Elephas maximus indicus: one gene and its partners. The protein of the gene in region 4 purifies or fractionates together with the protein of the main gene of each other region. This does not show direct contact. Links are inferred from orthologs where the notes say so. Each region holds a gene or a part of one and is shown on either strand. Other genes may lie near its edges.

What was found.
Region 1: the proteins of G3BP1 (region 4) and TARDBP purify together in Homo sapiens (affinity purification with mass spectrometry; 3 studies listed by BioGRID, with this or other methods). This does not show direct contact. The link is inferred for Elephas maximus indicus from reciprocal best matches to the Homo sapiens genes G3BP1 and TARDBP.
Region 2: the proteins of G3BP1 (region 4) and PABPC4 purify together in Homo sapiens (affinity purification with mass spectrometry; 4 studies listed by BioGRID and IntAct, with this or other methods). This does not show direct contact. The link is inferred for Elephas maximus indicus from reciprocal best matches to the Homo sapiens genes G3BP1 and PABPC4.
Region 3: the proteins of G3BP1 (region 4) and ATXN2L purify together in Homo sapiens (affinity purification with mass spectrometry; 4 studies listed by BioGRID and IntAct, with this or other methods). This does not show direct contact. The link is inferred for Elephas maximus indicus from reciprocal best matches to the Homo sapiens genes G3BP1 and ATXN2L.

Annotation. Positions count from the first base shown.
Region 1 is NC_064821.1:50,843,540-50,851,138, reverse strand, and holds the start of TARDBP (TAR DNA-binding protein 43), read right to left. Parts: upstream 3,011-7,599; 5' UTR 2,798-3,010; coding exon of another isoform or gene 2,457-2,797; intron 2,239-2,456; coding exon of another isoform or gene 2,187-2,238; intron 1,792-2,186; 5' UTR 1,786-1,791; coding exon 1,548-1,785; intron 1-1,547. Other genes in the region: C3H1orf127 (uncharacterized protein C1orf127 homolog), read left to right, coding at 2,187-2,238, 2,457-2,797. UniProt on the Homo sapiens protein: RNA-binding protein that is involved in various steps of RNA biogenesis and processing.
Region 2 is NC_064821.1:81,201,756-81,209,349, forward strand, and holds the start of PABPC4 (polyadenylate-binding protein 4), read right to left. Parts: upstream 3,006-7,594; 5' UTR 1,966-3,005; coding exon 1,773-1,965; intron 1-1,772.
Region 3 is NC_064830.1:88,857,133-88,864,116, forward strand, and holds the start of ATXN2L (ataxin-2-like protein), read right to left. Parts: upstream 3,012-6,984; 5' UTR 2,739-3,011; coding exon 2,443-2,738; intron 1,859-2,442; exon of another isoform or gene 1,557-1,858; coding exon of another isoform or gene 1,435-1,556; exon of another isoform or gene 1,419-1,434; intron 1,406-1,418; exon of another isoform or gene 1,276-1,405; coding exon of another isoform or gene 1,238-1,275; exon of another isoform or gene 933-1,237; intron 836-932; coding exon 799-835; intron 588-798; coding exon 531-587; intron 446-530; coding exon 374-445; intron 1-373. UniProt on the Homo sapiens protein: Involved in the regulation of stress granule and P-body formation.
Region 4 is NC_064820.1:167,399,317-167,406,669, reverse strand, and holds the start of G3BP1 (ras GTPase-activating protein-binding protein 1), read right to left. Parts: upstream 3,013-7,353; 5' UTR 2,901-3,012; intron 1-2,900. UniProt on the Homo sapiens protein: Protein involved in various processes, such as stress granule formation and innate immunity. Plays an essential role in stress granule formation.

The DNA of each region.
Region 1 (7,599 bases), on a different chromosome or scaffold from region 4:
TAAGAGGGCAGAAGGGGACAGAAGCTGGCTGAATGGACATGGGGATATAGGGTGGAGAGAAGAAATGTGCTGTCTCAATAGGGGGAGAGCAACTAGGAGTATACACCAAGGTGTATATAAATTTTTGTATGAGAGACTGACTTGATTTGCAAGCTTTCACTTACAAAAGCACAATTAAAAAAAAAAAACAAAAACAAAACCTGTTGCCATCCAGTCGATTCTGACTCTTAGCAACCCTACAGAAAAGAGTAGAATTGCCCTGTAGGGTTTCCGAGTGGCTGGTGAATTCAAACTGCTGATCTTCTGGCTGGCAGAAGAGCTCTTAACCACTATGCCACCAGAGCACCAAAACTACATTAAGCAGGAAAAATAAATGCTTAAAAATGTGTGATACTATCCTTGTTTCTATATGTTAAACGTATCTGCTTAACCATTTCAATGTCTCTTACGTAATTTAAAGGCTATATACCAAAAAATTAGTGTCTTTTATGTCCAGATGATGGAATGAATCGTGCTAAGTTCATTTATTCACTAAATATTTGCTCAGTATGTACTAAAGGTCAGGTGCTACAGCTATAACTGTGAATCGGTTTGTCTTTTCTAAACTTTCACCAATGAACACACATTAGTTTTGTAATAAAGAAAACCTTAAGCTACTTTAAAAAGTCAATATTTGGAAAAGGAAGGGAAAGAAAATCAATGACATTTTACATTCAAGTAAATATTAATCTATAGCCAATGGCTTAATAAACAGCATACTAAAAAAACAATTATGCAGTTAAAAATCTTCTAGGTATATTAAGTCAACGTCCTGTGTCTTAACCAACTTTGATAATCTTACCTTGCTGCAGTAACATATAAGTATCAAGCAGATATACCAACCAGCACACATTCCTACTGCTAAAATGTATCTACATCCTTAGCACTCTTAATTTTCATGCTGTTCTTAGATTTAGAGCAGTGACAAGCACCAGCAAGAATAAGACTTAGCATTAAAACCCAGTGCCGTCAAGTCGATTCCGACTCATAGCGACCCTCTAGGACAGAACAGAACCGCCCCATAGAGTTTCCAAGGAGCGCCTGGCGGATCTGAACTGCTGACCCTTTGGTTAGCAGTCGATTAGGACCATACTAATTCAAAAATCTGAGTTACTGCAACTGAATGTTCCTTTTAGAGGAAAAAGAAGTCAGACTAGCTGAATGACCTAAGACCACCAAGGGCAATGACAGCCCAAAAACTTGGGGGCACTTTACAAGAATCCACAGCACAGATATAACTGCAAAGCATTCTTAAGAATCCCTGAAATCTGCCATCAACCTGGCAACGCTTGTTCAGATAATTTGTTATTTAAATAGTTTCCTCTTAAAAAATGTTCTGTAACTTCCCATTTTTATTAATTTAGACTAGTGGTCTTCCAAACTAGTCTAATAATAAAGCTTAAGGAAAAGCTTGCTTTATAGATGTTTCACCATGAAGAGAGGTCATGATTGGTGACTTGGGATGAGGCACAAGTCCCACCACACTGCAAAGCGAAATGGCAACAAACCTTTGGGATAGTTGACAACGTAGACCAGATTTCCCCAGCCAGCATCAGGGGCATGCAGAATTCCTTCTACTAGGCGGACACCTCTCATACACTGAGATACTGGATTCCTGTAGCGTAGGCCACATGCCCCTGGAAACTGGGCTGTAACCGTGGACAGCAGCACTGTTCCATCATCTTCTGATGGTATTTCAATAGGTTCATCATTCTCATCTTCTGTTACCCGAATATACTCAGACATCTTTTTCTTAAAAGGAAAAAGAAACATGAATGACCAACACTAATGCCAGGGGAACTGTTTCCTTGAATTCTGTTGATAACTAACACCACCCCACATTATCACTCTACGACTTCCAGAAAAATCCTTGCTGTGTGGACTCTTACACACGTGGATTTTTCTTGAGAAATGAGGCAATGGCAAGAGTAGTGATTTTCTATTAGAATGCGATGCCCTGCTAGGTTCATTCATTCACTAAATATTTCCTGAGGGATAGCTGTGGGTCAGGTGCTGCAGCTGGAACTGTGAAACCTGTCCCAAGTGGCATGCTGGTTACAAGGGGGGCAGGGGTAAACAAGACAAAGTAAACAAGTAACTATTTTACTACAATTGTCATACATAGTATCAGAATGAAGTACATAACCATGAGACGGCCGAGGAAAACCTCAACTGGGTCAGACCTGAGAGTCTGGATAGGTCAGGTGTAACCTGACACTTGAGGACCGAATAGAAAGAATGAGCCAGGTGAAGACATGATAAAAAAGTTCCTTCCTATTTGTCACTTTAGGGCTTCCTCGGGCTCTCCAAACTTGTGTCACAAGGACAGCGGCGACCAATTCGGACCGCCACCTCCCAGAAGCCAATGCGTGACAGCAGAGGGAGGAGTTTTTAGGGCGGCCCGGGTGGGGCCGCAGGGGTACACAGCCTCAACTGCCAGCGCCCCCCAGACTGCGAAGTACCGAAGGCACAAAGCATCGCCCGGGCCTGGTGGCCGCGCCTAACCTCCGTCTCAGACTGCGCGGCACCGCGGGACCGGCGTCGTTGCTTCGGCGCCGAATGCCACCCCACGCCATGCCCTAACGAAGCTCCCGCGCGAAGCCGCTCGGGCCGGCGGAGGCAGGCCCGGCCCCACGGCTCCCTCCTCTGCGGGGCCCGAAGCTGCTGCGTCAGTCTCGACCGTCCCAATGGGGGAGCTCACCCAGCCAAGAAGTCCTCAGTGAAGAGCGTCCGCGACTCACCTGCTAGGCCGCTGCTAGTAAGCCAGACAAGGAAACAAACCGAGAGACCAAAGAGCAACCCAATTACCGCCCCGGTCTCACAAAATGGCGCTAGGGCCACCTCCTCCCCACGCCGGCCGTCGTCCTCTCCCATCGAATCCCCGTTAAGAGGGGGAGGCCGCCTCACAGACACACAACGACTCTCTTCTTAGCGAGTTAAGGTCCTTATTGGGAGTGTGATAATACAGATAAAACTTTAAAGCTAGATAAGACCAGCATCAAGGGCTGAAAAGTTAAATACTTAGAAAATACGAATGAGTAGGCTTTTAATGACCCCCAGGTAGCGTAGCAAATGGTTTTGCCCGACCAACCGCCGGCCCCAGGTCTCGGCCTAGCTCGCGCAGTTTCAAAGCGCGCGAGACTAGCTTAGGGGCAGAGCCAGGAAGGGTTGGGCGGGGCCATGCCAAATAAGGCGGGGCGGGGCGGGGCGGGGGCGGGCGGGGGCGGGGCGAGAGGTCGCGGGCTCTCCAGACCGTTCCCGGGCTTGGGAGGGCAGGAGAGTCCAGGGCAGTTTGTCTAAGAAGCCAGCCGGTTCTTCCTCTCCTCCTTACCATAGGCAACCTCCAAACCTGGAAAGAAGATCTTTGTCTCTAAAATAACTATTGATCAATAATAGCGCCTACTACGTGCTCTTTACTTTCAAAGTACTTGCATATTTAATTCGCCCAACATTTTCACATGGTAGTTTTTTTAGTTGCTATTGATTTTTTTTTTTTTTTTATTGATGGAGCCCTGGTGGCAAAGTGGTCTAAGAGCTTGGCGGCCAACCAAGAGGTGGGCAATTGGAATCCTCCAGCACCTCTGTGAAAACCGTATGGGGCAGTTCTGCTCTGTCCTGTAGAGTCACTATCAGTCAGAATTGATTCTACAGCAATGGGTTTGGTTTTTTTGGTTTGTTTGTTTAGTTGCTATTGATACTATCCCCATTTTACAGATGAGGAAACTGGGCCATAGAGAGCTTAAGTGTCTTGCATAAGGTCACCCAGGCAGTGTATGGTGGCCTTTGGATTTGAACCTGGAGGCATACAATATTAACACCAGCTCCAGCCCTCTAAGGTAACAATACTATATTTCATCTGTTTTAAGACGTTTATTTTGTTTCACATTTCTGAAATGAGAAATTCATGTATCAGTTACAAATACAGTTGGAGATGTGTCATACCAAAAAAAAAGCCCCCTGGAATCTCATACTCACTGCAGTCCAGTTGATTCTGACTCATAGCGACCTTACAGGACAGAGCAGAACTGCCCCGCAGGGTTTCCAAGGCTGCAGTCTTTATGGAAGCAGACTGCCACATCTTTCTCCCACAGAGCAGCTGGTGGGTTTGAACCGCTGACCTTTTGGTTAGCAGCTGAGTGTTTAACCTGCTATTAATACTGCTATTATTTAGAAGCAAAGATCTTTCCAGGTTTGGAGGTTGGCTAGCGGGAGGAAAGAAGGAGCCCTGGTAGTACAGTGGTTAAGTGCATGGCTGCTAACCGCAAGGTCAACGGTTTGAACCCACACGTTGCTCTGTGGGAGAAAGATGTGGCAGTCAGCTTCCGTGAAGATTGTTGTTGTTTGTCATTGCACAACTTCCAGCATCACAGCAACACCCAAGCCTCCACAGATGCAAGGGGGCAATGGGTTTAGGGGAAGGAAAAGGGGACACATTGGGCTAGGAACACTTTTAATTTCTTAAAACCATTAAAAAAAAAAACTGTTGTGGTAGAGTCGATTTAGATTCACGACAACCCCACATGTGTCAGGGTTTCCACTGGCTGATTTTTGGGGAGTAGATTGCCAGGCCTTTCTTCCGAGGGGCATGAGGGTGAACTTGAACCTTGAACTTTTGGGTTAGCAGCCGAGTGTGGTAACTTCACCACCAGGGGCTTTAATTTCTTACTGGTCTATGAGATAATATAGTCCATCTGGTTCAAAGAAATATAGTAATAGCAAAGGCTTACACAGACTCTGGTCTAAGTGCCCTATATGTATTAACTGTATAAGCCTCACGACAACTCTGTAAGGTAGGTGCTAGTGTTATCATGCTGCTTAACTGAAAGGTTGGAGGTTCGAGTCCACCCAGAGGCACCTTGGAAGAAAGGCCTGGGATCTACTTCCAAAGAACCAGCCACTGAAAACATTATGGAACTCAGTTCTACTCTGACACACATGGGGTCTTCATGAGTTGGAATTGACTCAGTGGCAAATGGTTTTATTGTTATTTCACTTTGCAGGTGGGGAAACTGAGGCACAGAGATTAAGTAACCCTGCCCAAATTCACCTGGCTGGTAAATATTGAAGTTAGGGTTTGAATTCAGGCAGTTTGGCTCTGGAGTGAGTAGGTTCTACTGCCTCCTGCTTCTTACAGCCTCCTAGGGAATAAATAGTAAGTCTCGCAAGTTTGTCTCTGATCCCTGCTGCTCGTGTTAACCAGAATTCCTGAACCAATTTGGAGGGGTGAAGGAGGAGGGACCGGGGGTAGCACGTAATGAGTGACCTTTACAGGCCCCCAGGGACATCCCTGCACACAGCGACAAGGCTATACAGAGCCCTGATGGTAACTAAGGTTTTGAACCAGTGAATGAAGCACAGTGGCCTGTATCATCTCACTTAACCCACCCAGCTGTTTGAGAGGAGAAGTCAGTTTATTATGCCCATTTTGCAGAAGAAGAAATTGAGGCTCAGGGGCCACGTAACTTGCCTGAGATCACACATTTTCCTAAGGAAGTCACCCAGCGCATACCTTGTTGCCCCAGGTTTGTCAGACCCTGGAGCCATGCTCCGTACACCTGCCTGGGCTGCTTTGTGTGACAAGGTTGAGGCTGAGGCAATTTTTTTGGCCATTTCCCTGCAGCCTTAGGTGCCTGGGGAAGTTGTCAGTTGAGTTGGGAAGATCAGTAACCACTGTCTTGAAGAATAGAAGTAACTTCTCCAGGAAAAGAATAATAAGGCTGAAAGGAGGCTGGCTCCAGAGTCTTTGTTCTCCTCTTGGCCTCAGCTTTACAGTGCTGATTGTCAGAAGTTTTACTTGTTTGAAATGCAGTTTTTTGCAAGTTCTGCTGGCTTGCTTGCTTGCTCGTTTATAGCCCTTATATATAGACTTGATGTTATTGTTATTGGGTGCCCTTGAGTTCACTCCAACTCATAGCTACCCCATAGGGCTTTTTGGGCTGTAATCTTTGCAGGAGCAGATCACCAGGTCTTTCTCCCGTGGAGCTGCTGGGTGGGTACAAACTGCCCATGTTTTGGTTAGCAGCCAAGTGCTTAACCATTGCACTACAAGGGCTCCTTAGCACTTATAAGCTTGAATACACATTAAGCCTGTAGATTGTTGGAGAACCAAAAAGTATCCGTTCACATCCATCTTGTATATTCAGAGTATTTATTAAATCTTTCTGAAGATAAGGAATCAGAAAGAATTTATCGAGTGCTTACTCTGTAACCAAAATTGTACTAGCAGTGTAAAGATACACGAGAAAAATGAAAGCCAGCCTCAAACAAGAGTAAGTAGGGGTGGGGACAGATTGGGAGCCCAAGACAGACAATAATTGGAATGTAATCCCGGAAGGCATAAAACAAGTGGGACCAGAGTTGGCCAGAGGCTGAGAGTCTGAGGACTTCCCATTGGCTCCTGGAGAACTGGTTTCCAGCACCAGGACAAGGAGTCTCAATTGGAAGGAAAGGGCACTGGGGAACCATAGCGATGGGAATGGGCCCCAGTTAGTAGCCAGTCTCTTGGGCGTGCCCCCTCACCTTCCGGTACCTACCTCCATTTCCAGCTTTGCCAGCTCCAAAAGGTGAACAGGAGGGGAACTGTACAAGCATTTCTGGAAACTAACAGAAATACCAAGGCGAGTAACTTCATTTTATCAAGATTTAATTTCCTCTTAATCCTCATGTTTTTAGATCCTGCCAGAATTAGAAGCTGCCTCCCTGACTGGTCTAGGTCTAACTTAGATTTTTCTAAAAATTTTTTTACTCTGAAATAGTTTGAAATGTAGAAATAAAGTTACAAGAATAGTGCAAAGAACTACTATGATCCTTCATCCAGATTCACAACTGATAATATTTTATCACATTTGCTTTATCGCTCTATTTCTCCGTACACTGTTTGTTGCCATTGAGTTGGCTCCGACTCGCGGAGACCACATGTACAACAGAATGAAACATTGCCCAGTCCTGCACCATTTTCACAAACTCTAGTATGCTCAAATCCATTGTTGTGGCCACTGTGTATTTTGAGTGCTTTCCAACCCAGGGGGCTCATCTTCTAACACTATATCAGACAGTATTGTGTTGTGATTCTGTGTTAGTCATCTAGTGCTGCTATAACAGAAATACCACAAGTGGATGGCTTTAACAAAGACAAATTTATTTCCTCACAGTAAAGTAGGCTAAAGTTCCAAATTCAAGGCGTCACCTCCAGGGGAAGGCTTTGTCTTTCTGTCAGCTCTGGAGGAAGGTCCTTATCCTCAATCTTCCCATGGTTGAGGAGCTTCTCAGGCGCAGGGAACCCCAGGTCAAAAGGATGCTCTCTGCTCCTGGCACTGCTTTCTTGGTGCTAAGAGGTCCCCCTGTCTCTCTGCTTGCTTCTTTCTTTTAAATCTCAGGAGATCGCCTCCAGACACAATCCAATCTTGTAGGTCGAGTCCTGTCTCGCCAACCCAGCTGCTGCCTATCCTCCCTCATTAACATAATAGAGGCAGGATTTACAACATGTAGGAAAATCACATAACACCAGGAATCCTGGCTCAGCCAAATTGATACACACATTTTGGGGGGGACATAATTCAA
Region 2 (7,594 bases), on a different chromosome or scaffold from region 4:
CCTCAGTTTGGCAACCAAGTCGATGTTTGCACCATGGAGACCATGTAAAGGACCAGAAGTAAAAATAAGCTGCCAGCCAGGAACACTTTTCTTCACTGGCAGCAACAAGGACACCCAGACCTGATTTACAGTACAACCTCACAGCAGTGACTTCACTAATGCAATGACATCACCTAGAACTTCCTCCCTGAGGGGATTCAGACAGGGCTAGAGTGAGGGAGCTTTCTCCTGTCTTGCAGAATCAACTCCCTAATTTCTCCCCTCCAGAAGTTCAGCGTCCAGCCAGCCAAAGGAGTGTCTTCTTTTCCCTCGTTATTTCCAACCACACTCTTCAGTTAAGGCATGGAAAAGGGAGACAAAGGACAGGAAACGTCCAGGTACAGGAGAGTCGGCTGCGAGGATTATGTGAAACCCATGCCTGGGACTCATTTCTACACGACTCCTCTCTATTTCACGTGAGCACTGCAGAAGGCAAGTCGGCTTAGTCTGACAAATCTGGCTGTCTTATTTATAGCAGGGAGAGGTCCTGCAGAGGTATGTGTTGGCAGACACACTGACCAATGGCTTCTGCTACTATCTCTAAGTGACAGTACTTTTGTTCAGAAGAGCCAAGAAGGCAGGCCACGGCTAGTGAATGTACCCACTACCCCTCCCCCAGAAAGGCCACACTGAGCTACCTTCTTTGTGCTCCTGTGGCCCCAGACAGAACTCAGCTCAGAAGGCAAGTCCAATTCCCCCGTCTCAGCTGCATCCTGGGCAAGTTACACTCTCTGCCTCGTGAACAGTGAACCAAGGAGGGACTCTGCCACAGAACAGTTCATTTCTCTCTGTAATGGTCTCTGCAGTTGTTCCCTCTTAGTCTGGAGTCACGTGCAGCCCCTGATTAGGTTTCCTCTTGTCTCACTCCTGCCAGCCTGCAGCATACCTCTCCACTGCTCCAATCTGGGGCAGGCAGAGCACTGCACTGGGAGTCCCAACTTAGCCTCCAATTGCTGATCCTTTTCCTTCACAGAAGTCCTATTTCCTTCAGATGGCATGAAGTGGAAGTGTCAATCACTGTGCAGAGGGAAGGTGATAATGCTCACCAGCCCCAGCCCCCAGCCCAGTGAAACTTCAGGTGGCACTTTCCCAGACTAACTGGTCACCATTGTGGGCAAAGAACTCTTCCACCTCAGTGGCAAACATGCAGACTGGGGAGCTGACCTGGCACTGGCTGCACATGCAACTCTGGGGACACTAATACAAATCCCCACACAGAACTGCTCCCTGGCTTTCTATCTGCCCTGAAGAGCCCTTATCGGCCAAAACTCAAAGGATTCAGGCCAGGTCAAGGGAGGAGGAGAGGCCAGCAGTTCTGCAACCTCAAGTTTTTGCAGGGAATTGTATTTCAATCGCCCTGCTTTTTTGGTGGGCATGTGAGGGGCACAAGCCCATAGTCACTGACCAGGCAGATGCTTTAACAGTCCAGTCCCACTGAGCAGAACCACACACACAGTAGAGTGACAGTGGCTTCACTCTTTATGCAGTCTTCCTGGGTTCCAACCCTACCTCCACAACTTATTAGCCCAAGGTCACCCAGTTAGCAAGTGATACTAGGAACTCCACCCATAAGATGACAGGCTCCGCGTTCTTAACCCTTACAGGAGGCTCCCACTACTGGCTTTTGGGGCAACATGCTGCCTTGATGCCCCTCTCCGTGGAGGTAGGGACTTGCCTAGATAAGTCCCAGGGTTCCCTGAGGTCCCAATTTTGTAGGCATAGCTTCTACTTACCGTCAGCCGGCTGCTGGAAGTTGACGTAGGCATAACCCAGGGAGCGGCGGGTGATCATATCGCGGCAGACCCGGATGGACAGCACAGGCCCCGCAGGACTGAACTTTTCATACAGCATGGCCTCGGTGACGTCCGAGTGCAGGTCACCCACGTACAGGGAGGCCATGGGGTAGCTGCTGGCTGCAGCGTTCATCTCCCCGCCCCCCACCACACCGAGCCCCGCCAGGAGGACTTCTTCTAGGGATCACCACAGCACAAAAGGGGCTCTTCTCGGAGCCGTGGCTCGCGCGGCGGCTCACAGGTGGCAACAGTGAAGCCAAGGGGCGTTGGAGTAGGCTCAGATACACAGAAGACGGAAAACAGGAGTTCAGGGACAGCTCATAGAAGACTCTGCAAAACCTCAGACAAAAGGCGCTCAAAACAATATGGCCCTCCCTGGGAGTTTGTAATTTGCAGCTGTCCTGGTTTGAACCTCCAAATTTCAAAAAAAAATATTAAAATGGGGAATCCCCTTCCAAATTCTAAAAATTCTTCAAGAGGCAACCAAATGCTGCCCACAGCGGCCTTCGGGAGACGCGTTTCTCTATAAATATAGGCCCCGGGCTCCTGGCGGTTTAGGATTACAACAGCCAGGAGAAGAGGGAAACAAAATATTTGTCGGTGCCGACTCGGCAAGCCCCAGGCGGGCGTGCGTGCGCGCGCGCAGCCGCCTCCCACGCCGGGCTCCGCGAAGGGCAGCGCGGACACGTGGTGCGCCGGGGAGGCCGGCCCGCGGGGGGCGAGGGCTGCCGGCGGGGCCGGGCGGGCGCCGAGGTTGCCACGCGGCGCGCGCGGACGGGCAGGGCCGGGCGGCGGGCAGCACGGACGGACGCGCGAGGGTCAGAGCGCAGGCGCGTGGACGAGGGCAGGCCCGGGCAGGCGGCGGGCAGGCGGGCACGGGCTGCTCACCACGGGACCGACAGACGGAGGCGGACAGACGCCAAAGTGCGGCGGCGGGCGAGGGGCAGGCCGGAAGCGTGCAAAAGTGACTTCCCTGCGGGTGCTCCGAGGAAGATTCGCGTATTCTTTTTTTTTTAAGATTTTTAAAGCGTTTCCGTTTTTTTTTTTTTTTTTATCTTTTTTTCTTCAGGCTACTGGGCCCGAAAACAACGTAGACAGCGGCGACCCGGGGCGGAGAGAGGCGGCCAGCGGAGCCACCGCTCCATTTATACCCGCCCGCCCCGGGCGCTGCTGGTCGAAGGGCGCCTCGCGACCTGGGCGCAGCCGTGCCCGCCCACTCGGCCCGGGGGCCCGAGGCGGGGCGGCCACGCGAGAGCGACCCGGCGGCCGCGCGGCGCCACAGCGGCCCCTAGCGCGTGGAGGACCGCTCCCGCTCCGAGCTTTCACCAACCCCAAGGGCAACTTTTCATAATAAATAGATTATAGCCCCTCTCCACATCATCCGGGAATGGAATCCATAGATAATTTAACCACCCATGCGCATAACGTTTAAAAATCAATGTATTGCCTAATTGCGAAATTAAGAAGAAATAACAATTTATAATTTAAAAAATAGGTTCAATATGTAAATGTTTGGTCCAGAATACATGAGAATATATACTGAGTTCTCATAATTCTAGGACTTAAATGTAGAGTCGTTGGCAATGCTACAGCTAGAAAGACTTGCTTCCATGGGTGGTGTGATTTTCTGAAAAGAACAAGCTTTAGTACAGCGTCAATAAGACAAAACTCAATCACTCTTTGATTTACGTGGTAGTGGCGTGTCTGAAAATTTAGTTTACATTTAAGAGTGCAAAAATACTTTCTCTGTAAAAGAGGTTAGTATCTAGACTTAGATAATTATAAAAAGACTTTTCATCTGCATGAGGGTCTGTTAGGTCATTGAAAAATCATGTGGGATATGGAACGATTCTGCATCATGTGATACTGTCCCCATGCATTGCAAGCTACAGTGAAACCTGTGAGATCCAGAACTCGATGGAACTGCCTTGTTTTTATGAGTCTCACAAGCTTTCCACCTTTGACAGGGTGCAGTCTTACCACTTTTTTATTGCTCTCTGTTAGTGGAAAATATTTGAGTTTTCCTTCTCTGACAGGTGTCTGCCGTACACAGGTTCTGACTTTCGCAGGCTTTACTGTATATAGCAACCATTCCTCCATAAGTACAGGGAACTCCTTTCCCCATCATTATGACAACCAAAAACAGAAATTATCAGTAGGTGCACACACTCTTGCATTGAAAATGTAAGTCAATGAATATGTAAGATGAATGTAAACTGATGTAAGTAAAGAAATGAAAAAAACATATATACTCATTTGTTCAAATAAATAGTTAATCATGGCCTTGTCTATGCCAATGCTGGAGATAGGTGCTGGGGGATACCATGGGAGTCAGGGCAGTGGGAGTCCCTCTCTTCCTCATGGAGTTTATATTCTAGTGTATTAAATCAAGAAACATTTATGAAGTGCTCCTTCTGTAGATAGGTACTGTCCTTAGCAAAGCCTTCCCAGACCACCCAGTCTACAGTAGCCTACCACTGTCATCTATGACACTATCCCGTTGGCCTGTTTTCAAGGCATTTATTGTTGTTAGTTAGGTGCTGTTGAGTTGATTTTCAACTCTTAGTGACTCCATGTGACAAAGTGCTGGGTAAGTTCAAACCCCCAACCTTTTGGCTAGCAGCAGAGCACCTAACTGTTGTGCCACCAGAGCTTATTAAGGCTCTTATCGGTTGTTGTTGTGTACCACTGAGTTGATTCTGAGTCATAGTGACCCTACATGACAATGCAGAACTGCCCAATACGGTTTCCTAGGCTGTACTAATCTTTACAGGAGCAAGTCTTTTCTCCTGAGAAGCTGCTGGTATGTTCAAGCCAAGGACCTTTTGGTTAGCAGCCAAGTGCTTAACCATTGTGCCACCAGGGCTCCTTATAAGGCTTTTGTTATTATGTAAAATAACATTGTTTATATATGTTCTTACCTGTTCAGTGTCTGTCTTTCCTCCAGTGTATACAAGCTTCATGATAGCAGGGACCTAGAACAATGCCTAGCATGGCACATACTAAGTGTTCAATAAATATTTGTTGAGTAAACAAATGAATTCTAGGTACTAGTGAGCAAGAGAGAAACAGTCCTTGCCCTCCTGAAGCTTACTCTCTAGTAGGGGAACTTACTACGTGTATGACATTGAGCAAGCTCATTCACATCTCTGACCCTCAGATTCCTAGTCTGTAAGTATACTAATAAAGGTATTCACTTGATGGAGTTATGAGAATAAGCTAACATATATAAGTCGCTCGTGTAAATGTTAATTGTTATTATTATCAAGTTGCATGTGTGCTGACAGTGGAGTTACTTAAGTGAAGACCCTGAGTGGAGGAGTATTGCTGGAACAAGGGAGCAAGACTGTGGTGTTGTGGGAGGCAGGAAGGACAACCAGCTCTTGGAGGACTTGAAACACTTAGGACTTTATCCTGAGATTGGAGGATAGAGCTGAATATTGTAAGCAGGGCAGTACCTTGGTTCAAATTGTATTTTTTAAAGAATATCTCTGGCTGTACCCCGGATTTCCCGTGTCCATTCAACCAGCTCCTGTCCCTTTATGCCTTTTCATCTCGCCTATCAGTCTCATGTATCTACGTGAACTACGAAGCACGCACCTCACGAGTATCATTTTAAGTCTTATAGTCCAGTTTAGTCTTTGTCTGAAGAGTCAGCTTTGGGAATGGTTTTAGTTCTGGGTTAACAGAGAGCCTGGGGGCCCTGTCTTCTGGGGTTCCTCCTCTCAGTCAGACCAGTAAGTCTGGTCTTTTACTAGAATTTGAGTTCTGTACCCCACTTTTCTCCTGCTCCATCAGGGACTCTCTGTTGTGTTCCCTGTCAGGGCAGTCATTGGTGGTAGCCAGGTACCATCTAGTTCTTCTGGTCTCAGGATGATGGCATCTCTGGCTTATGTGGCCCTTTTTGTCTCTTTGTGCAGCCAAGAATTTTGCAGTACAGTGGAATTGTAAAAGCTCTGGCTACTGGATTCATTTGTTTGTTCACTCATTCAACAAACTTTATGTGGTTCATACAGAGAGCCAGGCTCTGCTATGGGTGCTGTGGACAGAACCATGAGCTAAACAATCACAGAACAACTTGACCTTATTGAGGACAGCGATAAGAACCAAGTAAATAAATGACTGTGTGTGTAACTTGTGCAAAGTGCTTTTAATCAAGAGACTGTCTAGAGGTAAGAGCAGGTGAAACCCAGCCCATCCTCCCAGCAGGAGATCGAGTCTACCTACAAAAGCTCTATTTTCTATAAGCAACAATGGCCCTGACCCTCAGGAAGGAAGACCCTTCCTTGCCCACAGACAGGTCTTTGAGATCCTAGAGGGTTAGTCCAGGAAATAAGACAGGCTGCACAACTTTGGCAAGTGGTTGTCACATCTCTGAGCCTCCCCGATCTGCATGACAGGCTCGGTAAATCCTTTTTAGGAGAGGGGCCAACTGACACAAAAAGGATTGTATCAGAATACTATGAAAAATTATACTCCAACAAATTTGAAAACCTAGAGGAAATGGACAAAGTCCTAGAAACACATTACCTACCTAAACTAACACAAACCAAGATAGAAAATCTAAACAGATCCATTAACAAAAGAAGAAATTGAAGAGGTTATTAAAAAAAAAAAAGAAAAAAAACCTACCAAAAAAAAAGCCCTGGCTTGGATGGGTTCATTGGAGAATTCTATCAAACATTCGGTAAGAGTTGACACCAGTACTAGTGAAACTATTCCAGAACATAGAAAAGGAAGGGATACTTCGGAATTCATTTTATGAAGCCAAAGCCAGGCAAAGACACCACTAAAAAAGAAATTTATAGACCAATATCCCTCATGAACATTGACACAAAAATTCTCAACAAAATTCTAGCCAATAGAATCCAAGAGCACACAAAAAATAATACATCATGACCAAGTGGGATTCATACCACATATGCAAGGATGGTTCAACATCAGAAAATCAATCACTATAATCCACCACATAAATAAAACAAAGGAAAAGAATCACATGATCACCTCAATCAATGCAGAAAAGGCATTTGATAGAGTCCAACACCTATTCCTAATGAAAACTCTCACCAAAAAAGGAATAGAAGGGAAATTCTTCAACATGATTAAGGGCATACACACATAAACAGCCAACATTATTCTCAATGGAGACTGAAAGCATTCCCCCTAAGAATGGGAACCAGACAAGGAAGCCCTTTATCACCACTCTTATTCAACATTGAATTGGAAGTCCTAACTAGAGCTGTAAGACAAGAAAGGGAAATAAAGGGCATCCAAGTTGGTAAGGAAGAAGTAAAACTATCCCTAGTCACAGATGACATGATCCTACAATAGAAAATCCCAAAGAATCCACAAGAAAGCTACTGGAACTAATAGAAGGATTCAGTAAAGTGGCAGGGTACAAGATTAACATACAAAAATCAGTTGGATTCCTTTACACTAACAAAGAGAACTCCAAAAATGGAATAACTTTTACGATAGCCCCCCAAAAGATAAAATACTTAGGAATAAACCTAGCTAGGGACATAAAAGACTTATATGAAGAAAACTACAAAATGTTACCGCAAGAAACCAAAAGAGACCTTCATAAATGGAAAAACATACCACGTTCATGGTCAGGAAGACTTAACATTGTGAAAATGTGAATACCACCCAAGGCAATCTATCTAAAAAAAAAAAAAAAGCCTGTTGCCATTGAGTCAATTCTGACTCATAGCAACCCTATAGGACAGAGCAGAACTGCCCCATAGGGTTTCCAAAGAGTG
Region 3 (6,984 bases), on a different chromosome or scaffold from region 4:
AGAGCCCCCATTCCCCAACACCCGAAGGTCAGTATCAAGAAATGTGAAAGCAAAAATACAACTATTTTCCCTTTACTCTTTCCAAAAGTACCCCATGTACACTGCCTTCTCAACACCACCCGAAGGCCTAACAAAAGTCTCAAATTTAAACATCTGACATTCTAAAATTCATGCTTTTTAACAACAGAAGAGCCCATGTTTATTCAGACCCACGTCTTTTATTACCACTTGTAGTATTACCCTGGCATAGACCTACATAATGAGTAACACCCATAATGTTGACCAATACCACCCAATCCAATGCCTTTGATAAATCTATTCCATTCTCCTCTTCCAGCAAAGTCCAAAAATAAGCTGATTCGAGTACACTGACCTTTGAGCTCAAAGTCTTGAAGATACCCTCATAGGTGGTCCCATTTTTCACCTTTACATCACAAGTAGAGCCCTAGGAGAATGAGAAAAATAAGAATGTCTCTAGCAAATTGAGTCCTAACCGTCTTAAACAACCTAGGGGTTAAGTACCCACTTACCACAACAGCTGTAAGGAAATGTAACATTCTGTAATTGTTGTAAACACCCTCAAACACCTGTCAGCGACAAAAGAGGGAGAAATAAGAAGTGGTCGGTCAGTCAATGTTTCACTTTCCTTTTAAATGCCCAGGCTCCACTCACCCCCACCTTGTGTGTGCTGGGTCTCCGGTCCTTCTCAGCCCCTCTACCTCTGTACCTAATCTCCCCTATACCCCATGTGAGCGGCTTTTAGGTCCTCATATCTTAGGGAGAGATAAACGTACTCACTGGTGACTGTGGGGGTCCTTTTCCTGTGCTCTGTCCCCTAAAAGGGAAAGGATAAAAAAATTGGTTATTTAAATCTTTTTAATTTTCCTTTACAACATTAACCTCAAAGCACTTAATATCCTAGAAACACATACCAAATGAAGATGCTGATTTAGGCTACAAACCAATTTACCAACAAGATGTTCAAATTCTCACCTTATAGGGGAAAACAACAGTAAGCATCAAGAGCCAGTAAATACGCTGCCTCCAAATTCCAGTAAAATAAACCATAATCGGGAATAATTGTCATTGGTCTGAAGAGCCAATTCAACACAACCTCCTCACTTTCTCCCAGGGGCAGAGGGCTGCATGCTTCCAACAGACAACGCTACAGTATTCGATAACCAATAACCCATCCCAGATATAAAGGCAAGACTTAGGTAGATTTGGTAGTACCTACCTCAGACACATTACTTCCCAAATAGAAAAGACAATCATTTTCAGTAGGTAGATTTGGTAGTACCTACACGCACCTCAGACACATTACTTTCCAAATAGAAAAGACAATCATTTTCAGCAGCCTCACACCCCAAGCCCTGAGAGGAAAGCCCCTCCACACCTCACCCCCTAGACCTCATTACCCATTCAGCCTATTACCAACTCGGACAGGTCACCAATCCCTCGGTAACCCCGCTCCTCGATGGCTGATGTAACCGGCGATTGAGGGCGATGAGGGGGCCGTTGGCGGGGCTGGGGGACAGCGCAGCCGCAAAAGCCATCCACCGGGAGGCCTCGCCCGGTCTGCGCCTGCGCTCTCAAGCCCACGGGCCTCTTCGAAACGCCCCCTCCCGTGACCAGAACCCACTGCGCCTGCGTGTACCACCACCCTCAATTCCATTAAAAAGAGAGACCGAGAGGGAGAGAAACCGAGTGGGGCCTCCAGTACCCCTCCAGGCACACGCCCAGCTTCTGCCCAATATGTTGCCCCGGACACACGAATGCCCGGGTCAAGAGACAGTGCATCCGCGCGCACGTACGGCAAAAGCGCGCGCGCGGCGGAGGTTCCCGGCCCGCAGCCCTCCCAGACCTCCCTCCTTCCGTCCCCCCGCCCTCCCCGCTCCCCTCCTACTGGCCAGACCGGGAAGGGGGAGGTAGCAACCCGCTCCCAAGTCCTTCCCTCCCTATTGGCCAAACTGTGGGCCGCGCGCCCCCCTCCATTGGCTACGGCCGGGGACCCCTTCCCGCAGCTGACTCCCCATTGGCTGAAGCCCGGGACCGCGAGACCCTCCGTGGTAATGGAGCCGGGGACCCCGCTCACCTTTTCTCCCCCCCGCAACTCCCCGATTCGGCGGTGCTGGAGAGGTGCGCCCCGCTTCCCCTGAAAGCCCGAGTCCCGAACCCTGCCTAGGCCTTGAAAGCTCAGCCTGGCCCCCAAATGTCCCATGGCTGCCCGGGGACCCTTTTCCTCCGACCTGTTAGGACCTGAGGGTACCCACCCCCATCTTCACGGGGGGCCTCTCGCTCCCCCCGGTGCCGTCCATAGGTGGTCACGTTGGGGCCCGCCCCACACCGCTGTACTCAGGCCCCGGCCGCCGGGCCGGAACAGAGCCGCCGCCTCCTCCTGGTAGCCTCTGCTCCCCCGCCCGGAAGCCCACCCCTCCTCACCTGGAGGTGCCGATGGTAGCTGCCCCTGGCCTCTCTTGATGCTGCGGCGGCGGCGGTTGCGGCGCCAAGATGCTCTCGGCTCCCCGGCGCAGCCCGCTCCCTGCAGCGGCTCCGGGCCCCAGGCAAGGGGAAGCGGCCGCGGGAGGCCCTGGGGAAGTCGAGGTGGAGGCCAGCGGCCCCGGGAGGCTGCCGTTGGGAGGGCTGGTGCCCCCGGGAGGCCGGCGGGCCACGGCCTGTTGCGTGGGGGGCGGCTGCTGGGGCTGGGAAGTCTGTTGTGGCGGCTGAGGCTTCAACATGATGGCAGCGTCCGGAAGGGGAATCAGGGGGAAGGGAAGGAGCGAGGGGGCCGGGACTAGGCCCCTGCCGGAGGGCGCGGGAAGCGAGGGGGGTTGGGATGCTGGGGACCCGCCGTTGGCGGGCGGGGGGAGCCCCGCGGTGTCGGGGGTGGATAGAGAAGACCGCGGCGCGAGGAAGCGCCGCGAGGCGGAAGGGGAGGGGGTCTCGCGGGCTGTAGGAAACCGAGAGGGCGCGAGCCGGCCTGGCGCGCGTGCGCGTCGCCGGGAAAGGGGGGAGCGCGCGGGTGAGAGCTCTCGAAGGGGGAGGGGCGGGGAGGAGGGAGAGGTGGCGCGAATGCCGGCGCGCACCGGGGCGGTTAGCTCCAGGTGGGTGAGGAGGGAAAATAAAATTAAGTGAATTTCGCGCCCTTAGCCTTTGGAGTGGGAAAGGAGCAGCGCGGGCGCTCACACGCGCCAAGAATTTAAAGTCTCTAGGTCTGAAACAGCCCTAGAAACTGGCAGCGGCTGTCGCTTCACAATGACCGTGTGAGCGCCGGGGGAGGGGCCGAGGAAGCGGAGAGGAAGAACCGGTCGCCCCGCCTACGCCGCCGGCGTAACGTCGGGATGCCTCCGCATTTGTGTGAGGAGGTACCACGTATCGTTCGATTCTTCCGCCATTCTGGGGCTAGTGGGTGGAGTCTAAATGCAAAAAGATCCCCGGAATTGGCTAAGCCAAGGGTTCTACTCCTTTAAGCAGGTGGTAGGTTTTGTGAGGAGCTACTTTGGACCTTACCTGCTTTAAATAGAAGACTGAAGAGGATTGAAGTGTCCGAGTTTATCGTACTGGCCTTTGCAGATTAGCCTAATCATAAATCTTAAATTTAAGAAATTTCCATTATCTCGGGGCCGAGGTTCTTACGGTCTAGTTCAAAACCCTCCCCCCAACTCTGATAAAGCCAGCATTCATTCATTCAAAATTAGTTGGGCTTTAGGACATTTGGATACAGCGATAAGTAAACCACTTCCTACCCCCAGGGAAGGAGCTCTGGTGGTGCAGTGGTTAAAGCGCTCAGCCGTGCTAACCAAAAAGGTCGGCAGTTGGAACCCACCAGCAGAGAAAGACATGGAAGTCTTCTTCCGTAAGATTTACAGCCTTGGAAACCCTACCGGGCAGTTCCACTCTGTCTTACAGGGTTACTATGAGTTGGAATCTACTCGAAGGCAGTGGGTTTGGCTTTAGTTTTGCCCTCGAGGAGTTCGAGCTGTTTGTGGATTCACGCAATTAGATGAGATCTGTTAGATGAAGTACAGGGCACTGTGAGAACAGATAGAGGTGACACCGAATCCAGTGTTCCGTGGCATCAAAATTGAAAAGACAGTAGAGAGATGAATTTTTAGGCAGTGGGAAATGAATGTGACAAACAGAAAAATTCAGCATGGCTGGAATGGAAACCCTGGTGGTATACGTGGTTAGCTGCAAACCAAAAGGTCAGCAGTTCATATCCACCAGGCGCTCTTTGAAAACTCCATGGGGCAGTTCTATTCTGACCTATAGGGATGCTATGAGTCAGAATTGACTCAGCGGCAGTAGGTTTGGAGCATAAAATTAGAAGAAGAGGTTAAAAAATAGAGACACGAGGTAGGCAACCTGGGACCAGATTCTAAAGGCCCCCACTTGATCTTCAATGAAGTGGGGTGGGGCTTTTTTTAGAAAATGAAGAGGTCAGATTTGCAATGTGGAGAATGGAATGGAGAAGTGATGGGCATGTGGTCTTATCCAGTGAAATTTCTCATGTCTTAATCTCTCTTTAAACCCTATGGGCTAGTTCTACTCTGTCCTATAGGGTGGCTATGAGTTGGAATCAACTCGACAGTGAGGATTGAATCTCTTTTTGCTCCAGGCATTATTAGCGTTAGAACTCTTCCAGCTCTCCTCCCCTCCTGCCTCCCAGTTAAAAGGCAGCCCTTCTCTGGCACTGGGCTTTTTGGGTCTCTTTGGGAAGTCTTCTCTCACCTCAGTCTCACCCCAATTTCCAGTGGGTTAGGTTCCCGTTCTGTGTGCGTGGCCACTTTATTCTGATAGCTCATTTAATTATGTCTTCCTGCAAGTGTCAGCTCCCTAAAGGTTGGGATCTTGATTCTTACTGCCCTCTCTGCACTACCTAGCACGATGCAGGCAGTCAATTAAATATTTGTGAGGTAAATGTTTCCAAGTCGTATCTTAAAGACCTTCATTCTCCTGGGTGCCTAAGTAATACAGTCTAGCTTTTTCCTGGCATTACCTGCACTATCTGGTACCATGCTACCTCTTCAGTGCTCCTGCCCCTCCCCCTCAGATTCTAATTAAACTTTCATTTCCATAACATAACCCATTGCCATGGAGTCCATTCTGACTTGTAGTGGACCCTGTAGGACAGAGTAGAATTGCCCCGTAGGGTTTCCTAGATTGTAATCTTTATGGGCCAGATCCCCAGGTCTTTTCTTCTGCAGAGCTACTGGTGGGTTCAAACCACCAACCTTTTGTTTAGCACCTGAGTGCTTAATCACTGTGCCACTGGGGCTCCCTTTCCACAATATGTCTTGCCCTTATTCAGCCCTGCCTTTACATGTGTTGTTTCTTCACCTAGAATTCCCGTTTCAATTCTCTAGTTTTTTATTCTTAAGTTGGAGTGTCACCTTTTCAGACATCCTGTTATTTACTCCTTCCTCTGGACGTCCAGAGCACCATATTGGTTTTGTTTATATATGTGTGTCTCCTTTCCATTGGGATCATGAAGGGCAGGGACTGTATTTTACTCATTTCTAGATCCCTTGTGCCAAGGTCAGTGGCTGTCACCCAATCGACAAATTGGTAAATGACTGGAATGTTGTTTTCTTGTATGAATTAAAAAACTATATGACTATGATTTGATATGGAGCGATTGCCAGGATATATTGTTAATTGAGAAAAGCAAAGTTCAAAAGAGTAGAAACTATGGTATGAGGAACAAGAGAAGGAAATAAATGTATCCGCAAATTTTTGCAAAGAGAAATAGAGGAAGAATAACCCAGAAACTAATAAAATTGGTTACCTGTTAGGATAGGGAAAAATGGGGGTTCCTTGGTTACTGGGTTACACTCTTCTTTTGGAAGAAGACAACAGAGCTCCGATGGGGGGTGGCCAGGGGAAGGGACACTTCTTTCAGTATACCTTTTCGTATAGTTTTGACTTTTCAGATCATAGCACAGTCAACATATTAAAAAAATGAGATCAATAAGGATGGGAGGCTAAACACTGAGTACAGATGTAAACAAATGAACCCAACTATATCTCAGATGAAGAAAATAACCACATTGAAGGGAGAAAAATAGAACTAATTCAAGTAGCTCTTCAAGTGTCTTCAGCCTAAAGGAAAAATAACTGCAAAAAACCTCAACTCTAGTTACAGTGATAAAGTCATGGCAGTTCTGAAACTATTTTGGGGTATTGTAGAACTGAGCACATGAGTGTTGTTGGGAGCCAGGGTTCTCAGTGGGGAAGAAAAAAAAAAAGGAACCCAAACCCATTGCTGCTAAGTCCATTCCAACTCATAGCAACTCTACAGGACAGAGTAGAAACTGGCGCACACAGTTTCCAAGGACCACCTGGTGGATTTGAACTGCCAGCCTTTGGTTAGCAGCTGTAGCTCTTAACCACTATGCCACCAGGGTTTCTATATACATATATATACACATAATACATTCGCATTCATATCTAGTGTCCAGATCTTGCTTTCCAAATAGTATTTTTCAATAAAAGGACTCAGAGCTCCTTGAAGAAATGGTTGATTCCAGGGCAGAAGTAAGGAAGGTACAAGATGAGTTTGGAACATCTTGTGGCAGAAAACAAGTACTTAAAAAAAAAAGTGATAAGGAGATCAAAGAGACATAGGAGCCAGCTTGAAGAGGTTTTCACTGGCCAAACCTGGGACAAATTGTGCATCAAAATAAGGAAAGTAATAGATCATAACCCACTGAATAAAAGAAGAATCTGTGCATCCATGCTGTTAATAGGTATAAACATACATGCTTACATACGTAAAAGGAAGGCACACACACTAGAGAAAACAGATGGACGTTCTTCAAAAACGCCCGTGGCACGAGAGACAAAGGTAGAGGAACTCTTCCAGATTGAAGGAGGCTTAAGTGGCTAATAGCTAAACGAAACACTTGATCCTGGCCTAGATTGCGTAATAGAAAAAGATTGCTATAAAGGATGTAAATTTTCCACTGGCAAATTTGGAATATA
Region 4 (7,353 bases):
AATAAAACTTTTTTTTTTTTAGTAACACACAACGCCTATCTAAACTTCCAGATATTTTAAAAACCAATCTAATTGCAAAGCATTAAGAAAACACCAGTGGGCACTTTTATGAAACCAAAAAAAAAAGTTGGTTTAAGTCACAAATTCAGGCTTTACATTAAATCTCATCTTTTGAGCACTGGCCCATCTATCCTTCTACAAATCATACACAACTCACAAACTTATAAAAACTAACCTCTGCCCTTTACTTTCTGTGCAAAGCATTAAAATAAGTTCAAGTAAAAGATCCCTAATGTAAATTACAAAAATTGCTGCAAGGGTCACCAACGAACTTTACCAAATCTCCTGATGATCTCTTATTAAACTATTAGCTAAGAACAGCAAATCAAGTGTGAGGTAAAGAAAACCACTGCCTACTTTTCTACCTGTTAGAAGAGGTACGTCTGCTCCGATTTGAAAGGATTTAACTCTTAACAAAAGTACTAATGGCTTGATTGGAAAGTAAGGCTCAAGTCTTATATTATCACAATTTGCTTCATTTCGCTTGTTTTTGATAAATACATGCACAGCAGGCCAACTGGGGTACCAACAATAGGAACATCACTTAATTTTATTTCTCCCCAAATGACAGCAATTTGCCTGAGGCCAAAAACAGTATTTTGTTAATACTTGAAGGGATTACTGACAAAACTTTCCCTCAATTAATACATAGTTATTTCATCCCGATAATATTTAACCTCAAGTAGTACTAAAAATGGCTGGAATCAAATGTGTAGGTCTGTCATCATAGTGTGTCAATATTTGATAATCTAAATTGCTCATCTTAAGTCCTAAAACACTTATTTCACAGTTAATTCCTCTTTAAATGCAGGTAACAGAAATTGTTACACAACTGCAAGTTCCAAATAAAACAATGTTATATCCAAATGGAACTGTAATTTATGGCAACAACTAAACGTAAGAACTTGTCCACACAACATTCTGATCTTTTACTGCTACTTTTTGTTTAGAAACATGGGGGGAAGTACAAGGTAAAGGAAAACACATGCAAGTATTAAATCCCCTCATTGTCTTAACTTACAAAGAATGTACATAATGTGTACCCTCTGGCTGCAAAAACTCCTTAAAGAGCAATCCTAAAGAGTATGAGCGCATACAGTAAAAAGGACAATTTTTTTTAAAAAAGAAAAAAAAGCAGAACAGGTTGAAAGCCATTCAATTCAAAACTAATTTAGAACAGCTAATCCCAAAGCTTCTTTTGCAGTTTTGTCTTAGAGACACCTGTGATGCAAATTAATAATTTTGACTTGCAACTTAAGAACATTCATTATTTCATTAAGCCAAAGTGTATACAGGCTTTAAAAAATCTAACTCTGCTACAAAGATAAAAACTCAAGCCTTCGAAGATGAGAAAGGTGTGTTCCACTTTTTTGCGTCTACACAGGAGCAGAGTAAATGCTCAATAGCTGAATGTAGTAAGGCTTTCAACCACAGAAGATCCCAACTCCACAAGAGTACAATTTCCAACATACCCCTATCACCCGCGATTCATCTAGCATTTATAACCTCCAGAGGTCAAATTTATCCTGTAACGGGGAGCCATCCTTTCCATTCCAATTTTTAACCCACAGATACTGCTGAGATCTGAAACTCTTCATTCTAAACCTCATTTTCTTCAATTATAAAACGAGGAAGTTTAAACTACCTTCTCAAAGGTCTTTCTCAAAAATCTGCTCTGATTAAAAAAAAAAAAAAAGAAGGATTCAAGACCTACATATCAGAGTCTAACTTCCTGCTGGCGAGAATGTCCCATTACCTCGCTGAGTTTCAAATCTGATGAGGAACACAGTCCATGTTCGTCGGCATTTATTCATTTTTCTACTTTTTCCAGAAGCTGTTAGGGCAGCACATCCCTCAGCTATCCCAGCGAATACAGGCAAAAAGGGAAGCTCAAACCCTCTTTCTTTGTCATAATTCCACTTCCAACCTTTGATCATCTCCGTGGAAGGCCACCACTGGCCTCAAGTACAAATGCCGCAGAGACTTCTCGGCAATTGTGTCTTCCGAGGTGGATGCTGCCCCCAGTGACGCCTGCTCTCGGGGCAAAGGTGCCCTGGGACCGCACAAGCCGTTGGAGCAAAGAATAAAACAGGCTCGGGGGCTAGAAGTCAGGCAGCCTGAGTTGAAATACCTGTCCCTTACCGTCTGCGTACCTTTGGCCATGTCACTCCACCTAGGTGCTTTAAAGTCCGCTGTAAAACGAGGAAAACAATTGTACCTACCTCACTGGGTCGTTGGAAGGATTAAATGAAATACATACAAGTTGCTCAGCACAAAGCCTGGCCCAAAAGGAAGGGCTTAGAGACATTAGTTATTGTTATTGCTAATTCTCCATGCACAAGGCCGCTCGCTCTGTACTCCCTGGAAGGTCGAAAAATTCTGATCGCACTTGAAGGTCGCCCCTACCCCTCGCTCCCGGTCCGGGCCAAGTCTGAGCCTCTAGGCGCGGGGAGAAAACACTCGGCTGGCGCGTGGGATGGACAGAGGATGGATGGGGCGGGCGGCGGGAAAAGCCGGCCAGCCGGCTCGCAGTCCCTCCCTGGCCGCGCGAGGCTCCCGGCCCCCCGAGATGGCCCTGGGGCCCGGGCGGCGGCCGCGGCTCGCTCTCGCCCCGCGTGGCCGTTGGACGCGGCACGTGCACGCGGCGGCCACGGCCTCGCGCTCCGGACGGTGGGGGTAGGGGAGGCAGAGAGCCGCTGCGCGCGCCTGCGGCCGTTGGGGGGAAGGGGGGGCGCGCCTCGCGCCGCCGCCACGGCAGCCGCTCGGACCTCTCCGTCTAACAGCAGCCCCAGCTCGGCCTCGTCCTCGGGCGGCCCAGCCCCGCCCACGCCCCAGCCTACCTGCGCGGCTGAGCGGGAGAGGAACAAGCTCTGCTCCACAGTAGGACGGATGGCAGAGGACCCTCACGGAACTGCGTCCGCACACACGCGTGCTCCGCCGCCGGTGTATATAACCACGACTCAGCCTAACTTGTTGCGGCCAGGCCGGGCGAGCGGATGGCCAATCCCGAATGCGCCCTCTGGGCTCTTCGAACCACAATTGGATATTGACTCAGGGTGAAGGCGTGGCTCTTGATTGGCTTGGACTAGGGCGTATGAGACTGTAAGGATCGCGTTTCCCTAGTAACGGATTGGCACTCAGAAAAACCAATAACTTAAAGGTACAGTGAAAAGGAGGGTGGGAAGTTATGTGACCGATACCCGTAATAGCCAATAAATCCATGAAACTACTCTCATTCGCTAAAACGTCGTCCCCTGGGCGGAGATCCGTTTTCCACGCAGGAGCGGTTGCTCCACAAGGTGGGGCCCGTGTACTTTGGGGAAGTAAACCCCAAGTAACTAGGAGGTGGGCTGCAGAGAGGCCAAGGAAGTCCCTGGCCAATCGTAACGCCGGAAGGGGCTGATTGACGCGGGGGTTGGCTCCAAGGAGACCGAACCCCAGGGCCGCCGTGCCCTCTGGGGCGTTTATAGGAGTTTCCAGGCTCTGGCTTCTGTTCTCTTTCCTTTCTTTCTCTTGTTTGATCCGGCCCCAGGGTCCTTTTTCCCGCCTTTTCCGCACAGTTGGTACTAGGGGAACCAAGGGGTAAAATTCCCCGTTAAGTTTTTGTTTTTAATCTTTTATTTAATTTTTTTTTTTTTAATTTCTATGCGGCTGCCTAAGGGCACTTGCTGAGTCTTACCTTTAGCTAGCGCTATTGTTGGACTTGGACCACAGTTAAAGGAAAACAAAAGAAGAAAATAGTTTCTGTTGTGTGTGTAAGAAATGTAAAAAGATCACATGTGAAAACTACTGTTGAGTTTGAGAATGTATATGTCCACCCCATTCCCTCTTGGCAAATGCTGCGGTTGCTTAAACCAATGGTGGGCTTATGGGGGTTTTAATCAGACTTTCCATTTTGGTTGTTGCAGAGGGAACGTCTCCCGTCAAGTTTGGGCCTAATGCAACATCACATCTTGTGTGTGTCCCCAAGATTGTCATTCCTTTTTCTAATTGCTGTGTATACATGGGACTTGGAAGACTTGCTTTTTCTTCATGCCTTTGCATCTTTAGAAGATAACTTGTCCAACTCCTGCATGGATACTCCAAAGATTCCCCGAAACGGTTAGGCTAAATGGCCCTCCAGCCTGGTTCTGTCCGTGTGTCTTAGTATTTTGCTGTGTCCTTTGTTGGTCACCACAAGCATTTTATATAGGAATATGGTTGGTTCCAACACATTAGGCATAAACTCGCATTCTCATTCCAGGTATGTAAGCAGCTGGGAGGGTCTTCTTACATTTTGCCAATAACGTTGGAAATGAAGCAGGTGGAGCGTCTCTGGATGCAGAGAAAGGCCAAGCAGGATGGCCTAGCCAGGGCTGAAAGGAGAAATGGGCACCCGCCGCATCTGAACCAAATCCAGCCCTGCTCTTCCTCTCTGCACTGCCGGCCTGGCAGACGAGACTGGAGACCAGGGGAGGCCTCAGGAGCCATGAGAAAGGCCCCGCTGGTTCCCCCAGGTCTCACTCCCTTATCAGCCCTGCTTATTCAGTGTTGACTGAGTACCAGGGCTAGGAGTCAGAAATGATCAAGATGCTGTTCACTGTCACCCATTCAACAGAGGGGTGCAACACTGGGACACGGATCCCAAAACAGGCATCAAAGGGTCTGTGGGGGGAAAGGAAGGAAATCAGCCTACAGGAAAGAAGCAGCTAAAAAATGTCTGAGGTAAGGGACCTTAAGATCATGTAAGGCATGTGAAGGAATTTGGGCTTTATTCTGTAGGTGGAAGGTTTTTTCAAGGGTGGACTAAGGTTTACATTTTACAAAAATGACTGTACTGAGAGCAGATTGACAAAAATAAACAAGATTGGTAATTTAACCCAGGTGGCCTGTGATGTGGGAAATGGCTTCTCTTGATCACATTTGGAAGGAGTATTAAATGATACAGCTTATTTTATAAGGCAAGTAGGCAGTGTCTATTAAAATTGTGTGTGTCCCTAAATAAAATTCTACTTCTTGGTAGACAGGTACATTTGTTTACAGAGAGGCCTGTACCAGAGTGTTTATTGCAGCATCGTTAGAATACTTAGAAGTAGAATATTAAAATAATATTCGTCAATTGGCAAACTGTTTAACGGTGGTATACCTGTAATATAGGATACTTATGCAGTAGTTTAAAAAAAGAATATATGGATATGAACTGATGTCCACTTGTTAAATGGATTGTTAATTTAAAAAAAGTCATTCAATGAAACATACAGTGAAGTCCCATTTATGTCAAAAACAAAAAAAATGCTCATTTTGTATGTTAAAGTATATATGTAAATGTATGGGGAAAGTTCTGAATTTAAAATAAATTCAGTCATTACTCCTGGAGAGTTCAGTATGTAGGGAGGGATGAGGGTAATGTATCTGAAATGTTTACAATGGTACTGTGTTCACATACTGTGTTGTGTAATGGGAGGGAATGAGGGAGAGGAGGAAGGAAGGATTATGGGAGGGAGAATGTGGGCAAGACAACCCCTCAGATGGCTGTTGCTGTCTTTCATGGGAGAAAGGGAGTTAACATCCTCCCGTCAAAGCTTCCCCATCCAGATAAACCCTCTAGATCCAGACAATGGATATTTAGTAAATGTTCGGTAGTTAACTTACTACCAACAAATTGTCTAAAACGTGGTTGAGAGGTTGTCTCCAACATCCCCCCCCGCAAGGACATATTTGGCATTGTCACAGCTAGGTAGAGGCCACTGGCATCCAGTGAGTAGAGACCAGGAATACACAGGAGAACCCCCAAAACAGAGACTTATCCTGCCAAACCCCAATTATGTAGAGGTTGAGAAACCCTCGTCTATAGACCCATTTAAGTCATCTATGGGAGAATCTCAAGCCTTCTTCTGGTCTTTATCTCCGCTGCCAAGCAAGTTCTACAAACCCCTCCAGTACATTCTTTCACCCCTGCCTTTCTATCAGCTCTCCCGAGAGCTCTGAGAATCGGGGTGGAAGGAGAATGAACAAGACCCCAGAACATACAGTTTGATAGGAGGAGTGCAAGGGTGGTGGGAAATACTAACTAGGTAAGAAAAGTTTCTTGAATATCATCTGAATCAATGTTTCTCAAACATAGTTACTCATTTATGAAGAGTGATGAAAAATATGTGTGTATCTTTAACTGTTAAACTCCCACCTATGACCAAAGACCTAGTATAATAATTTTCATTGCAGCATTGTTTAAAGTAGAAGGAAACAGGAAACAACTCAAGTATCTAGCTACATGGTACTGATGAGATACAATGCTAAAATACAACACACTCTTACAGTGAACTGTCATGCAATCACAGAGAAAATGAGGTAGATCTACATGTATACTTGTAGTGAGATCACCAAGAGATATTGTTAAATGAAGAAAGCAAAATGAAGAATAATGGGAAGAGTGTGCCACCATTTGTGCAAAAAGAACAAATGGAGGCTATGTTGTTGTTAGGTGCCATTGAGTCAGCTGCAACTCACAGCAACCCTATGGACAACAGAAGGAAATACTGCCTGGTCCTGCGCCATACTCAAAGTCATTACTGTGTTTGAGCCCATCATTGCAGCCACTGTGTCAATCCATCTCGTCGAGGGTCTTCCTCTTTTTCTCTTCTTTTCCAGGGTCCCTGCTGATAACGTGTCCAAAGTATGTGAGATGAAGTCTTGACATCCTTGCTTCTAACAGACATTCTGGCTATATTTCTTCCAAGACAGATTTGTTCTTTCTTTTGGCAGTCCATGGTATATTCAGTATTATTTGCCAACATCATAATTCAAAGGCATCAATTCTTCTTCAGTCTTCCTTATTCATTGTCCAGCTTTCGTATGCTATGAGTCAGCTGAAAACACCATGGTTTGGGTCAGGCAGTTTAGTCATTAACGTGACATCTTTGCTTTTTAACACTTTAAAGAGGTCTTTAGCATCAGATTTGCCCGATGCGATACACCGTTTCATTTCCTGACGACTGCTTCCATGGGCGTTGATTGTGGATACAAGTAAAATGAAATCCTTGACAACTTCAATATTTTCTCCGTTTATCATGATGTTGCTTATTGGTCTAGTTGAGAGGATTTTTGTTTTATGTTGAAATGTAATCCATACTGGAGGCTGTAGTCTTTGATCTTCATCAATAAGTGCTTCAAGTCCTTTTCACTTCAGCAAGCAAGTTGCGGTATCTGCATATCACATGTTGTTAATGAGTCTTCATCCGATCCTGATGCCCTGTCCTTCTTTATATAGTCCAGTGTTATGGTTTGAATTGTGTCCCCAAAAATGTGTATCAACTT